Linked DNA regions of Alligator mississippiensis. The protein of the gene in region 1 purifies or fractionates together with the protein of each later gene. This does not show direct contact. Links are inferred from orthologs where the notes say so. Each region holds a gene or a part of one and is shown on either strand. Other genes may lie near its edges.

What was found. The genes of interacting proteins can lie anywhere in the genome.
Region 2: the proteins of SEC13 (region 1) and NUP37 purify together in Homo sapiens (affinity purification with mass spectrometry; 5 studies listed by BioGRID and IntAct, counting the BioPlex papers as one, with this or other methods). This does not show direct contact. The link is inferred for Alligator mississippiensis from reciprocal best matches to the Homo sapiens genes SEC13 and NUP37.

The regions. Positions count from the first base shown.
Region 1 is NC_081835.1:15,063,687-15,071,102, reverse strand, and holds the start of SEC13 (protein SEC13 homolog), read right to left. Parts: upstream 3,541-7,416; 5' UTR 3,435-3,540; coding exon 3,432-3,434; intron 3,357-3,431; coding exon 3,312-3,356; intron 1-3,311. Other genes in the region: cullin-associated NEDD8-dissociated protein 1, read left to right, coding at 7,326-7,393. UniProt on the Homo sapiens protein: Functions as a component of the nuclear pore complex (NPC) and the COPII coat. At the endoplasmic reticulum, SEC13 is involved in the biogenesis of COPII-coated vesicles.
Region 2 is NC_081827.1:107,339,890-107,348,490, reverse strand, and holds the start of NUP37 (nucleoporin Nup37), read right to left. Parts: upstream 3,184-8,601; 5' UTR 3,165-3,183; coding exon 3,084-3,164; intron 2,684-3,083; coding exon 2,492-2,683; intron 1-2,491. Other genes in the region: PARPBP (PCNA-interacting partner), read left to right, coding at 7,139-7,288. UniProt on the Homo sapiens protein: Component of the Nup107-160 subcomplex of the nuclear pore complex (NPC). The Nup107-160 subcomplex is required for the assembly of a functional NPC.

The DNA.
Region 1 (7,416 bases):
TCATGAACTGCCTACCAGGTACCAGAACGATAGGATAAAAAGACTTCAGTTATTGTGTTCATGCAGGTCATTTGTTCCAAATTATTTTCTTGCAGTAAGTAGACAATATTATATTTAATGTCTATAGTTTACACCTTCCTAATAGGGCAGAGGTTGTCAACTGGGGGTACTTGAGAAGGCCCTACGGGGTAGGTGCAGGCAGGGAGGGATGGAGTGCTGCCACGCACCATCCTGTGTAGGTGCTGCCTGCCTGGCCAGACATGGGAGGCAGGGGAAGTCAAACGTGGCAGCTGCTACCACTCCCCATCAGGCCACGTGCCACCCCCCTGCTTGGCGGCCTAGTTCCACGTTCAGCTGTGCACCACTCTGGCCCCCTCCTGCTTGGCGTCCAGCTGCACACCACCTCCTCTCTCCCTCCCCCCCCTGCATCCAGTCACTGGGGTACAGTGACCCAAAAAGGTTGAAAACCCCTGTAATAAGGTAATTACCACAAGTAGTCAAACCCAGTGCTTTGAGACAAGAAGTCAGGGCTCTGGGCTTCTATTCTCTGCCACTGACTCTTCTTGGCCTCAGCTAAATTACTTAATCTTGGTTCTGGTTTCTTTATATTTCAAATGGGAACAAAAATTTTGATCCACCTCCCCACACAATGTTACCAATCACTTATGCTTGTGTAACCCCTGACCTTGGGTTTTGAAGAGATAAGCAGAGTGGGGTGAGGCCACTCAAAGTCTAGGAAAACCAAACCCAAGGAGTTGGTCTGAACTATGGCCCTCTGCTGTTTTGAGGGCTAACAGGAGTGGAAGTGGAAAAAATAAAAGAGCTGCAACATGGAGGCCATTTTTACCTGGAGCCAGTGTAATTAGAGCATGGGAGAGGCCTTGTTCCCTGACATGCTCCCAGCACCATTAAAGGGGCCCCAGGGAGATTGTGGAGGAGCCCAGTCTGAGCACAGCTGGGAGCAGGATCAACTTCCCCACAGAAGAGACACCAGCAGGGAGAGAACCTGACTGCTGATAGAGTGGGTGCATCTACACATGCTGTTAGCACGCAAAAAACTCTGGTACATATCGCACTGGAGTGTATTGCTCCTGGGCACACCACCTGAATGTGAGCCTGAGTCTCCAGCATGCTAACCAGGTCAGAGAAACCCTAACTGGCAGGGGGCCCAAAGGTTCAGCCTGCCAGCCTGGGGCTGCTCCAACCCAGCTCAATGTGTTGTGGAGGGGCTCGGCTGGGCCATGAGTGTGCTCCAGTGTGGGGCTAGCCAGCAGGCAACCCCCACACAGAAGCACTCTCGTGCACCAGCCAGCCATGTTAGACTACACATGCAGTACTGTGAAGTAAAAAAACTCCACAAAAGGGTAGTGCTTGTAAATACTCTTTGCTGTGGAGTTTATTACTTTCCTGTAGCCTAATGGGGGCACACATGTAGATATAAGACATTTGCCACGCACCTAATTAGTCTACTCCACTGTAAGTGTCTCGTGTAGACACGCCCAGTGAATTGCACTTAAAAGGCCACAGAAGTTAGCGTAGTCAGTGTGTTGTGAAGTGCTGAAAGTCCTTGTGCCATCTGGAACAGCTCTTACCTGTGCACAAGGTAAAGAGCCTCAACCCAATGGGTCCGTATGAGACTGATGAGTTGAGGTTTTAAGTTATACTGGTGAAAAGGGAAATTTTGTTATCAGATTTCCGTGTGGGGTTTCATGGCTTATATTACACATTGTGTTCTAATGCCTACGCACATAAATTTATCTGACTTGTTTGTACCCTCTTCTTACTAAAGCAATGTTTGGGGACACTGACTTCCCACAGCCACACCAGGCAAGGGGTTATACATGCAAGTAAGTTTAAGGGGTTTTACAATATGAGGCAGCAAAGCTGTACAGACCACTGAGAGACAGACCTGCCCATCTGAAGACGATGTTTAGAGTGCTGTTTTATTCCCTCTTCCCACAAATTGACACACTGATCTGCCTCTTTCTCATCCCTCCAGCAATGGTGCACACTGTTATCTCATGTTTTCTAGCAGCAAGTCCCAGGCATTAGAAAGAAGGATCTAGAACAGAGATGCTCAATCTCTGGCCTGCGAGCCAAATGTGGCCTGTGGAGCTTTGGATTCCGGCCCTCACCAGCACCTAGGGATGATTCCCTAGAGGGGAATCATCACTTCCCTCGATCAGCTGGCAATGCTCCTACTGATGTAGACTAGTATGCTGCTAGCCTTCTTAGCAACAAGGGCACTGGTGAGGCCACATCTGGAGTACTGTGTCCAGTTTTGTGCCCCCCACTACAGAAAGGATGTGGACATGTTGGAGAGAGTCCAGTGGAGGGCAATGAAAATAGTTTGGGGGCTAGGGCACACGACTTCTGAGAAGAGGCTGAGGGAGCTGGGCTTATTTAGTTCAGAGAAGAGAAGACTGAGACGAGATTTAACAGCAGCCTTCAACCACCTGGAGGGGGGTTCAAAAGAGGATGGAGCTGGACTGTTCTCAGTGGTGACAGATGACATTAAGGAGCGATGGTCTCAAGCTGTAGCAAGGAAAGTTTAGTTGGATATTAGGAAAAAACTCTCACAAAGATGGTAGTAAAGTACAGGACCAGGCTACCCAGAGAGGTGGTGGGGTCCCTCTCCTTAGAGGTTAAGACCCAGGTGAACAAAGCCTTGGCTGGGATGCGATGAGGGTAGCCAGCCCTCCAGGATTGCCCTGGAGGCTCTAGGAATTAGAGACAAATCTCCAGGAGATGCCAAGAGTCACCCAGGAGATAAACAATAGACCATTCATTAAAATAAATATTAAATGCTGGAGCAGATTTGTACAGTAATCCCGTATGTTTTTTAAACATAACAGTCGCGTGCATTTTGCCTTCCTGACGTAAAGTCTACATATCAAAATCCATAACTGACGCATGCGGGCACGCTCGCGTCGCGTGTCACGGGTACACTGCCGTTCTGGAAACCTCCCCAAATAGATTAAACCGAGCCACAACCCTCCATGAGACAGCTGGGGCTGGCCCTGCTCGGCGCGGGGGGCTGGCCTACATGCGAGCCCCCAAGATCCCTGCCAAACCTGACATGATTGCAGGAGGAGGGGAAGACCCCCCTGCGGCAGCCGGGCCGGCACGAGGGTGCCCCTCCGCGCTCGTGGGCAGCTCCGACAGCCCGGCTGTCACCAGAGGCGCCCGCAGGCGGCACCGCGGGGCGGGGAGGGCAAAGCCTGCCCGGAGGATGAGGAGACCCGAGCGGGGTTATGGTAGGCCCCTGCCCCTGCCCCGGCCTGCGGGAAGCCGAGCCGAGCCACACTCACGATCATGTCCTCGTGCGACGTGTCCACGGTGTTGATGACCGACACCTGCGGGGAACAAGCGGGGTAGGGTCAGACCACCAGACTATGTACCACCACCACCCCCCCGGCCCCGGCGCCTACCATGGTGGCGGCGGCGACACCGGCCTCCTCCTCCTCCCGCTCCCGCGGCGGCGCTCAGACGTGGCAGCGCCCGGGTCCGCCGGCAAAGACGTCCCGGCCGGAAACAAGCGCGGGCGCGCCCGGCTTCGTCCTCCCCAGCGCCCGGGTCCGCCGGCGAAAGCGGCCCGGTCGGGAACAAGCGCGGCCGCGCCCGGGTTCCGCCCGCCCCCCGCGCCTGGGGTGGAGACGCACAGGCTGAGCGTGAAGCCCAGAAGCGGGGAGGTGCTGCGCCCATAGACTCACCCGGGAGCTGTTTCTGGCGGTGTCTCCTGCACGTGATGATTCTGCACAAGCAGCCTCAGCTCAAACCCTTGTGCTAGGTATCTTGATAGATAGACATCTATACAGACTGAGTAAAGAAGAGAGCTCTCTCTGCACATCTCTGCTTTGAGTCTGTAAGGTGCAAACCTCCGTGCTTGACTTCACGCAAACTGTCCTTGCACAGCAGCTGATAAAACAAGCAAACCTCCGCTCACAAATGCTGCTGTATAAATAGCAGTATTGATCGATGGATACAGATAAGGTGCAAATCTTTCTGTTTGATTTCAAGCTAGCCTTTCACTGCTATAGGCATATCTAGGTAGGTAGGCAGATATAACTCAAGCTTTTGGGGGCTAAGGTTCACTTCATCCTGTGAAAGAAGGTGCAGAAAGCTGGGAATAAGGAGAGAAAAATTAGAGTACAACATTCAAGGGGGAGAAGGAGGTGGTGCTGGGAGAGAGAAGCAAACAGGTATTAAGCCCATATTCAGAAATCTGAAGAGAAGTCTGCAAATGTGGCAGCTGCATTCCCAGGGCTTTTACTACTTCATGGTTAGCCACTTGACTTCCCCCAAAAGGCTCAGAGCAACAGCAAGTAAAAAAAAAAAAAGCACTAATCTACTTTAAAATATTACCTAAAAGACAGTTTTGCATCCTTTAAAAAAGGCATCTAATGGTAACAAGGAATATATCCATTCATCAAACAGTCATAACAGAGAGAAACTATTTCAGGGGCTAAGAGGGGTTGTGAGCTGATATTTAAAAGAAGGGAGGCTCAGAGAGATGTGCAAAGATGCAGTAATTTGCTGAACTCGGACAACAACAATGGGGCCTTCAGGAACTGTTTCAAGAAGGGATGGGATCTAATCTAGAGCCTTTGCTCTTGTTTTGTGGAAACAGCAGTGAGGACAATAGATTGGGGGCCAGATGCTTCTAGTTTTGACACTGCAGGTGGCTCCTCTGAGGTCTTGGGTAAGTAATTTTGTTTCTCCATCTCAATTTCTCTATCTGTGCACTGGGGAGAATGATGTCTATTTTCCTGTGTGACGTGCTTTGGGACCTTCAGATGAAAGTGTAAAAGTTAATAATGTTCCCCAGATGTTTAAAAGCCAAAAGGATGGAGTTAATGTTAATCTGCAACTTTACAGGCCACAGTGTAAAGATTGAAAGGCAGGTGCAATCTGATCATGGTTTACAGAAGACAGTGTGTCTGTATTTGGGACAGCTTGATAGGGAAGGAGATAGTGTATTGCTGTAGGAGAAAACCAGAAGCACCTGTTTTGTTCTCAATGCATTATGGCCACCTGAGTGCACCTTGCAGCCTCATCATCATCACATCCTCCCCCTCATGCATTCCCAGAGCTGAGCTTACTATCTCTGAAGTGCTCTGGGCTCAGCAAAACAACAGTTGGTAAAAGTGAACTTCATTGTCCTTTCACGATGAGGCACTTCCTTATGTTCGGACAGTGTTGGCCTGGCACACCAGGGTTTTGGTCCCTGACTGAGGTCCCTGAGCACAGCCACAGTGATAATGTAGCAGGTGGACTTTAAGGAAACAGATAGGTTTTTCAGCATTCCTGCCATTTAAAAGCAGTGTTCCTGCTTATATTCTTCCAAGTCATTTTACAGTGCAATATACTTCTTGCTATTATTTCTACTTGTCGACTTTCTTACCCAAGCTGCGTGTCTTGCAGCTTGGGTAAGAAAATCCGCTTGGCACTTTCTGTTTCTGATTCTTTTGCAATAGCACAGAGATGCAATGTCTGAGTTTCCAAAACATTTACATTCAAACAAAAAGCTTTGCTAATGTTTAATTTAAATGGAGAAAAGTTTCCATTCCAATTTTGGTTTGTAAAACAAACATATCTACAGCCCTGTCATTGCATATTGGGGCTCTGTTCCCTTTACAAGCATAACCATTTATAAAGTGGTATCAATGAGATCTGTAGATCATTCAGATGATTTGCTACTGAAAGGAGGGAGAATGGTCTTGTAGTCAAGGGCGTGGTTTTTATGAGATATGGATCTAATTCCTACCCTTGCCACAGACTTCCTGACTGACTTGGAACAAGTCATGATACAGGTGCAAAATGAGTTATAATGCTGTCTTTTTCTTCTAATTGTTTGTGTTGCCTGCTTAGAACGTGAGCTGTAAACGGGACCAAAGTAGCCTTAAGGATATATTAAATGCTTTGGAAATTGGGACCACGAGCTGCTCACAAAAACGATCTTGTGATGGAAGTTCTAATACGATTTGGCCAGTGACGGCCATCACTTCGGCAGTGGTGGCTGCTTGCCTGTTCTTTGCCACCATAAGTTCTGGTGCCATATACTGAATATAACCCAAGAGGCACTGGTGATGCCTGTGTTTCTCCTGTTCTCTTGTGGCATGTTTTAGTCCCCCTCCCTTTTTTTAATCAGGTGTTTTCTGTCTCTGAGGCACCAGAAGATGTTCTTGCAGATGCTTTTTGGACAAAGAGCTACCTGCGATGGCTTGGGAGACCCCTTCCAGTCCCGTGTTCCTTACAGGAGAAGTGTAGATGGAAAAAGGGAGGGAAGAAGGGACAAAGCTCACCAGGAGAAGAACATACGGTTGGATCCATTCGCACGTGCGCAGTTTGCAACGTTCGAGTCAAATTTTGAAATAGTCCCAACAAATGCTGTTGCTGAGACCAGTTGTTCCTGTGAGCTGCTGAACACGCCATTATTGCTTGGCAACTTACCATGGGCCTTGTGTTGTTCTCGGAGAGGATTTGACCGGCAGGGCTGGACCGTTTGGGTTAGGCGAGCAGGCTGTTTTGTCCCGAGGGAGCGGGAGAGAAGATGTTGCGGGAGAAGCTGGGCCTTGTGGACAGTGTTCTCGGAGAGGATTTGACCGGCAGGGCTGGACCGTTTGGGTTAGGCGAGCGGGCTTTTTTGTCCCGAGGGAGCGGGAGAGAAGATGCTGGTGGAGAAGCAGCCAAATAGACCGCAGAGGCCCAGGCCTGTTGGAGGAGCAGAGGAGACAAACCCACAGGACAGGGGAGGTTAATTCCCAAAGTTACTGACTCAGTTGTTTGGGGGCCCCCTGCAAGATGCAGTTTTGCCGTGAAGAAGCGAGGGGGTGGCGAGCGGACGCACACAGGAGACCCTCGTCTGCGGGGCCCCCTGCCGCCACAGGGTTTGGGAGGTCCCAAAAAGCAGTCCTAAGGGCTGCATTTGACACAGCGCAGGCGGAAGCAGGGGTCACTGGAAAGGCTCCTAGGCACGACGGGGAAAACAGCCATTCTTTCATCAGCCTAAGCTGATGGATACAAGAACAGGCGGAGTTTTTCCCAGTTAAAGCGCGGAGTTGAGGACGAGGCTGAGGGCTGCCAGCGCGGCTGTCCCCGGCGGCGGGCGGGGGCCGGGCCGGGGCGGGGCGGGCGGGCGGGCGGGCGGCGCGGGGCTATTTCTGGCGGCGCGGCCGGGCTGTTCCAGCGCCTTCCAGCCGGGCACAGGCGGCGGCGGGGAGAGGAGAGGGAGCCCGACACGGACACGGACCCCGGGCCGCGGGGCCTGGCGCCATCTTCTGCCGGCGGATCCCCGCAGGGCCCAGGCGGGCCGCGGCGCCGACATGACGAACGTGTCGTACCACATCTCCAACCTGCTGGAGAAGATGACGTCCACCGACAAGGACTTTCGGTAGGGCCCGGCCCGGCCCGGGG
Region 2 (8,601 bases), on another chromosome or scaffold:
TCCATGCCCTCTTTGTAGGTCTGTACAGCAACAAATCACAGAACACAAATAATAATATTGAGTGACCTATGACATGTAAAGTGAGGTGCTGATATTCAGTTTCTACTGAACAGGTGTATACATCACAAATCTTAGATTACAATTTACATCTTTGTTAGTCTTGGAAACAAGGTTAAAAACGTGTGTATGCAGGCACACTAAGCCTGTCATCGTTTCAGATCATGACTTCATAGGTTTAGTTAAGATGCAATGCATTGGAGCTTTTGGGGGGGGGGGGGGGGGAAGTTTCACATGCATACAAGTATTATCCATCTTTTGACAAGAACCAAGAAAAGAAAAAGAAAAAAGCAGCACACAGTCAACAAGATACAGATAGCTTCTTTCAAGTTAAGTCCGTAGTAATGAATGTTTCCAGCATGCATGGACTATCTACTCCAAACAAAAAAGAGAAAAAAAGGTAGAGGCTACATTGGTAGTAGAGGCATCAAAGATGACCACAAGAACTTATAAAAAGCTTATTACCATGTTGTTTCATCTACTGGAAGGAATAGAAAAAAAAAGTTCTATGAACATGTCCCTGCTATATTGCTATTGTAAATGCTGTTGGATCACTGGATGCATAAATAATGTTCTTTTATACACAGATAGATTCAGATAAGAATTTCAGAAACTAGATCCAGTTTCTAGAACACTCCCCTCTAGGTTTCCAAACATGTTCACTGAAAAGAAATGCTTTGTATTGTTGAAGTTAAGCACCGTTTAAAAAATAATTTACATTGACTCTTGATGCTTATATGCTCACAAGAAGCATTTTGTTTTTACCTAACAATTGGCCAACATGAATTATGCAAAGACTACCACCTATATGTATACTGAATAGGTGCATAATTTAACTGTATAACATGCCAGTTCTAATTTTTTTGCCTACTGATTACGTAACAAATAAAGATTATGCATAGGATCTCTTCTGCACTGCTGTCTCCTTTTTGCCATAACTGCATTCTGTTTACCTATATAATTTGTAAAGTGAAGCAAAAGCCTCAACTTGAAGGTTTTGTAAGCAGCCCTGAACTGACTAGGTCCTGTCAATTTCAAGGTTGGGGGAGGCATAAAGGAGGTACAGAAAGTTAAACGCCAGGCAATAGCAGCAGGTCCAGCTTCAGCCTCCAGCTGCAGTCAGGTTTAAGACTGGAGTTGCAGCACCATGCCTGCTGCTCCACGTTCTCTCTTCCCTGTGCTCCACCTGCTGTGTCCCCCTTTCCTAGCGCTCTCCCTTCATTGCATGCCCCTTCCCTGTGCCCCTTGTGCTCTGTACTCCACTTGCCCTGCACCCTAAGTGTCCCTTTCCCCACACTCCCCTTGCTCCACGTGTTCCTGCCCTATGCTACCTGCTGTATCTGCATGCCCTTTCCCCTGCGCTTCCCCTTGCATGGAGTGGCCCCTTCCACACCTCATCCCCCATGTCCCTTTCCTCACACTCCCCTTGCTCTATGCATCCCTTCACCCATACTCCCCGCTGCAACCCCTTCCTCTGTGTCCCTTCCCTGTATTCCTACAAACCCTTGCCCTGTGCTCTCCTCATACCATACATCCATTCACCCATGCTGCCCCGCCACCTGTTCTCATGAGCTCCCCCACACTGTGCTTTTCCCCCCCACCGTGTTCCCCTCTGCACTGTGCTCCCTGCATACCGTTTCTCCATGCTCTGTGTGCACCTTTCTCCATGCCCCCTTGCTCTGTGCATCCCCCCCTCCCATGTCCCCTCACACCGTATGCCCCTTCCCTGAACACCTCCTACCTGCCACACAAGCTACCATGGCTGCATCTTGAACAGGAGCAGCTGTTTGCCTGGCCCAAACTCTGTTCCAAGCAAAAGGTTTCCACGCCCCCCTCCACCTCCGAACGGGAAAAAAGCCTCATCTTATATTTGAGGAAATATGGCAAGTAATTATTAATTTCTGGTATCACAGCCATTGGCTGGAAGTCAGTCCATAAGTAACAGATTCATACAGATTGGGATTTAGTGCTCTGGGAAGAAGAGTTGAATCAGATATAATAAATTATGGCACTTTGTAAACACACACAGCACATCTCCAGTTCACCAGGCACAGTCCAAACTAATAGCTGCACAACTCCCCAGGTAGCAATTACCTACATTCCAAAAGACACAGAAACTGAACTTTCTTTCCAAGAGAAAAGACCTATTATTTTTGTGTCTTATTCAGTGATCAAAAAGAAGTTATAGTAGCAGAATCAAACCTCACAGTAATATACATAATTTTCATTGAAGTGAATTTCTATGAACATACATGCCTGAAGAACAATTATGCTGGAATCTAAAAACAAAATGGGCCCAACTCAAAGTGATTTTATAAAGGAAAAAAAAATGCTGTGGCTCCAATGTACTCCTTAACCATTCCTTTTAAAGATGAATTAACCCCCCAAACTGCAAATATTCAGTTAAAAAAAATAACAGAAAAAACCTACTCACTTGAAACCTGCAAGTCCCGACAACGACATAATTGTTGCCACCATATGCAATTAGGGAACATGCCTCTCCACTATCAAACGGACTGAACTCCACCACGTGCACGTAATCCTCGCAGTCCACAGCATAGGCAGCGCTCCTAACAGAGTCTTGCTTCATTTCAGTGGTAAGATGGAGGTGGCATAGAAGCAACAACTGTTACAGGAGGAGGAGATTTAAAAAAAACAAACAAACAAACCGCACGTGCATGCGCGCGCACATACTCCCACCCCCAGACAAAGCTTCTTGGGGTAAGGGTAATATCTTTTATTAAACAAATTAGACAGTTACAAAAAAGTCTTTATTTGCAAGTTTCTGGGCCCAAACGTTCTTCATCGGGCAAAGATGAATTGAAAGACTGTAAAATTTCTCCGAGGTAGAAATAAAACCTCGTATTACATGGGGGAGGTAAAGGGCTGTATGGTTCTCCTGGGTAGGAAATTTTATTTGTAAAACAGCTGTTCTTTAACATGGCTACAACAAATATTCCCAGACAAAAAAACCCCCCAAAACAAACCACACGCTTGAGAAGAAAACACCTGGGACATGATCTTACCAACAGCATTGGGGCACGAGAAGTCAGACACAGACATTTTCTGACTGTGGGGCTCTGCCTGCTCCATAGGGGCTTTAGCATCACAGAGTTCCCACACAGCAGCAAAGCTAGAAGGGGCCTTAGGACATCCCCATGTGCAGCAGGGGACCAGCCCGCAAGCACCAGGAAGGGGCCCAGATGAGCCCCAGGCAGAGGAAGCAGCTCCTGCCCCTCGTCCCAAGGTGTTTCAGGAAGGCTGGGGGAGCGCAGCCTTGCCTCAGCCTCCCCTCCACGGGATGACGAGCCCCGTGACAGGGCAGGGCCCCCCGCACACAGGGGAAGGGTGGCACTATTCTCCCCACCCCGCAGCTGTTAACCACCCCCCCAACACCCACACCTCCCCCGCAACACCCCCCAACCCCATCCCGACCTCACCTTACCTAGAGATCTCCCGCGAACCTGTTCGTAAAGCACTGCTTCCGTCCCCGGCACCCCGCACTTCCGGGCCAAAGGCTGCGGCGCTCTGATTGGTCGGCTGCGGGAGATTTAAATTCAAACCGCCGGGGGCTCGCGTGCGTTGGCGCTTGGGGCCCGCTCATTGGCTGGACCGGAACGCGGGGGGGCGGGGCAAGGACAAGGACACTCCGCCTCCTCCCCCTCCCCCTCTCCCTCCCTCCCCTCGCTTCCCCTCCGCGCAGGTACCGGTGTCCGAGATCCTCCCTGCAGCCACTCTCTCGGACCCGCCCGGACCTGGGGAAGGGGGATCCCGAGGACGCTGAAAGCCGTGAGCGCGAGTCTTGCCTGAGCAAAGCGGAGCGGAGGCGCCAGGAGCCCGGGGCTGCCGGGGCACTTGGAAGGCGTGAGTGGCGCTGGGCAGTCGCCTGGCTGCAGGGCCCTGGGGCAGTTGCAGTAGCCACGCAGGTGCGGTAGCTCCGGGGCTTGACGGGCTCGGTCCGCCTGGGCGCCTGGATCCGCCGGTGCGCTCGGACCGTGCACCTGCATCCCTGCCTGAGCCTGCGCGGACCCCCCCCGTGCACCCGGATCTGATCCCCAGCCTCGTGCCTGGACCTGTGCGTGCCCCTGGCTGGCAACAGAGTGACCGTGGGTCACCACGGTGTCGCACGCGGGGCCATGTTATCTGCCCTGCAGTGTTTCATTCTTTCATGGTTGTTACGGGCTGGAGGGGACCTTACAGATCATCAGGTCTGCCGGCCCCCCCACTCCCGTGCTTGGGCAGGGAAGGCTGCTGGGGTCAGATGCACAACGCATGGATGCATGCAGAGGTGGTGCAGTCAGAGGTGTACAGTCCAGTACACCTGGGGTGTGTTGAATGCTAGTAGTGGTCCATCTCCAGCCCATGCAGTCCTGTCATCCAGCCTCCCCGTGGGACCTGACAGGCTCCTCAGGGGACCAGAGGCTTGTCAGCAGGGAAGTGACAGTGCTTCCCTGCCACCAGATCTCCAGAGCTATGGGGAGTGCTACAGGCCAGATGACACATTGCATGGGGTGGAGATTGAGCTGGTCACCCCCTTCTCCAAGAAGGGATTTAGGGAAGGGCAAGGAGTAGGATTTGTCCTAGGCTGGTAAATAAGGGTACTCCAGTGAACAGGGAAGTCATCAGTGAGTCCACAAATAACTTCAGAGGTTGAGTCAAGATCAACGTGTTCAACAACAGATGTGGTGAATAGTTCAGGGAGGAAGGAACAGGAAGATCCTGGTGATGTAGGATCACAGGTCTGTCTTGTCTGTCTCTCATCTATACACCTCTTAGTGAAGTGAATTTGCTCAAAATGTTTGATGCCTTGTCATGCATCACGCTGCTACAGGGGCTGACTCAGTGCTGGAGTTTCCCAGGTATTGATGCTACTATGACATTTCTTCAGATTGGCCTTTGAGATGTCCTTGCATCTCTTCCTTGCCCACCCCTAGAGGGGTGACCATCGGTGATTTGGGAGCATAGGACATGTTTTGTGAGCTGGTTATTGGCCATCCTATGACGTGTCCTTTCCAACGGAGCTAGTGCTGTGTAAACACAGTTTTAATGCTGGTGGTGTTTGCTTGAACCAGAAGACAGGCGTTCATTCATCTGTCCTTCCAGCTGGTATGGAGGATTTTTCACAGGCATCGCCGATGGCAGTGATCCAAAGCTTCCAGGGGTTTCTGCTACGTTGTCCAAGTTCCCCACTCCTACAACAAGGTATGGATGACTGCAGCCTGTAGGCGAGAAGTTCGTCATGGTCATTGAAGACACAATTTTGGAGACATCCAAAGGCAGCACTGGCAGGTTTTATCCGGTGTTGAATATCATTGTCTATGTTTACTTTTTGGGAAAGGGGGCTACCTAGACAGGGAAAATGCTCAACTATCTTCAAGAATTGCCTTCTGATTGTAATATGTGGTGGAGCAGCTGTTTGGTTTGGGGTGGGTTGGTAAAGTACTGCATTTTTTGTGAAGTTGGCAGTGAGGCCAAGCATTTCATATGCTTCACAGAGGCAATCCAAAGTGACCTGGAGCTTTTCAATTGAGTGGGCATGCATAACACAGGCTGGCATGTTGGAAATTCGTAATGAAGGTGTTGGTTATCTTGGATTTGAAATGTAACCAGCTGATATTAGAGATTCCCATCCATGTAATACTGGACTGCAGCAGGCTCCAGATGGAAGTCCATCAGCAATGAAATATGATATAGCTATGGTGTACATGGAAAAGTACTGGTGCAGTTGCACATCCTTGCTTGACTCTAGTCCTAATAGTGAAGGAGTCCATTTTTGCACCATTGCTCAGGAGGTTTGTGGTTCTGTTATGAAGAAATCTGATAATGGTAACCAATTTTGGCAGTCATTCAGATCTCATTAGTATCTGACAAAGAACCTCTCTGTTGATTGAATCAAAGGCCTTAGTCAGGTCTAGCAACAGAGATAATATCCACTGTCCATCAGAGTGATCTGAAACCACACCGGGGCTTGGGTAGAATCTCATCAGTGAGGAAAGTGAGTCTGCTGATAAGAATGTAGGCAAGGATCTTCCCAGCTGTGAGCAGGAGGGCAATATCAGTGTTCACTGCAATATATCTCCTTTCTTGAATATGGTAATGATTCTTTCAAGTCACTGGGTATCTGTTCAGGTTTCCAGATTTTCACAATAAGACATGTTGATGAGAGGACGTGTTTCCACCTTGCTTATAAATTTCAGCTGGTATTCCATCAGGATCAGATGCTTTGTTGTTTATCTGCTTATTTGCTTTTACTTCTTGATAAGTTGGTGGATCTGCAAGGTAATCGTTAATGGGGTTGTGGAATGGCTTCAGCGGTATTGTCTTTCACATTAGAGTCTCAGTTCAGGAGCTCTTGAAAGTGCTCATCCCACCTTACTTTCATATTGGAGCTGTCTTTAGAGAGTGTTGCATCCTTGGACCTCAAAAGAATGGCTCCTTATGCACTTGACCCATAGATAGCTTTGGTTGCGCTGAAGAAACTGTCATGGCTATCATAAAACTTTTGCATCTCTTGCTTTGTCCTCCCACCACTTGCCCTTTTGCCCTCAACTTTTGTCTGGGTCTCAGCTTTAATGTGGCAATAAGTGTTTTGTTTCAGTTTGATCACTCGCCTCTCCAAAAGAAGGGATTCAGAGGGTGATGGGGTAGGATTAAAAAACTGGAAAAACAGTACTGTGAAGATCCATTGTAAAGAAGGAGATGGTTTATATTGGGTGAGGATGGGCTGAGTGATTTGTAGGAAACTTGAGGGGCACCAGATGAACTATGGGATCTAAAAAGTTTAGAGGAGTTTGAGATGAACCAAAACCCAGAGGTTTGGGATTAAAAGACACCTTCCACTCTATAGGAAATATTCTTGCAGTCCCCAGATTGGGGTATAAACACATGACTTCACATCATGCATTGCTTGATGTTGCCACGCTCCCTGTCCTATCACCTTCCCTTCCATAAGCTTATTCAATTCAGTCTTAAAGATTCATGTTCCTTCTCTCCACTGCTTTGCTTGGAAGTCCATTCCTGAATTCTACTTCTCTGATAGTTAAAAATCTAACTTACTTTCTCTGACTTCTATTGTAGGAACATGGCTGCCTTTCAGCAAAAGATCTTAAATATGGTCAAGAGTTTTAGAAGACAATGGCATCTATTTTCAGACTCGGAAAGAACAACTGTGTGTGGAGCAGACTGTATGCTTATGGCTTTACAGCTTTCAATGGCTGAGGTCAATAAACAGGTTAGTACTCTGTCAATGGAAACTGCTGGACATTTAGGAGTGCCTACATGTGGATTAAGATCATTACTTTATGTGCATATTTGTCATGTATTTTGCACGGAAGTAAAAAAAAAAAATAAAAAAAATCTTGCACTTAGTTTTCTGACCTTTGTATGCTGAATCGCTCCATTTCAATATTATATTAACGTGTCTGAAGTTTGCATTATTGTTTAACTTTGATTACAGCCTATGCTCTTTTCCTTCAGATGTTCCTCATACTCTAGATCAGGGGTTGGCAAACTATAGCAATCAGGATGGATTCAGCCTGCCAGGCAATTCCATCTGGTCTGCAAAGTCCTGATATTGGCAGTGATTTGGTGGTGGCAATTTGGTTCTGGGGGGAAGTGGTGCTTGGGTTGGAAGTGCCAGAAATTATACACAAAAAAATGTCTCTTAGCCTTTGGACCACTGTGAAGTTGTGTTTGGGATGCAGTATCCCAGTGAGTGCTATAGGAGGGAGGTTTGCTTTACAGAGACGATGTAATTTGAACCTCCTGGATATAGATGGGGGTGGTATATATTAGGGCTGTGCAAACCTTCGGTTGCTGATTTGATTCGGTGGCCGAATCTCCCAATACAAATCTAATCAGGAGACCCTTTTAATCTCTCTGAATTGATTCTGAGAGATTTAGCGATTCGGACATAGACACAGTTTTAAATGTTTTTTCTACATACCTCGAGGTACTAGGTGGCTTGTGAATGCTGCAATGCTGGGGCGGATAGTGTGTCCCACAGGAGCACAGGGGGCTCCCCAGCGCACTCACCAGTAGACCCAGAAATGGACCAAAAGCATTTCCGGTCCGCTTCTGGGTCTGCTTGGGAGCCCCCCCACCTCCTGACACAGCAACTGTTGCCTCCTGGGTCTGCAGGGGGCACCCGGAATCCCCCCCGTAGCCAATCGCCAGTTTTTTGGGGGGGGCCCTAATGTGCTCCCCAGCAGACCCAGAAGTGGACCCGAAGTATTTCTGGTCTGCTTCCGGGTTTGTCACTGAGCATGTGGAGGGCCCCCACACCCTCTCGAGCTCCTGTGGGTTGCGCTATCTGCCCCAGTGTCACAGCATTCACATGCCATGCCTGATACCTTGAGGTATGTAGAAGAAAGATTTAAAGTTGCTCTATGCTGAATTGCTGATTTTCTGAATCGGAATCGAATCTTCAGATTTGGATTTGACCTAATCGAATCGGGGACAGTGATCTGAATCAACTAATCGAATCGCTGTCCCTGATTTGGGCCAAATCCGAATTGAATAGGGCCCATTTCTCACACCCCTAGT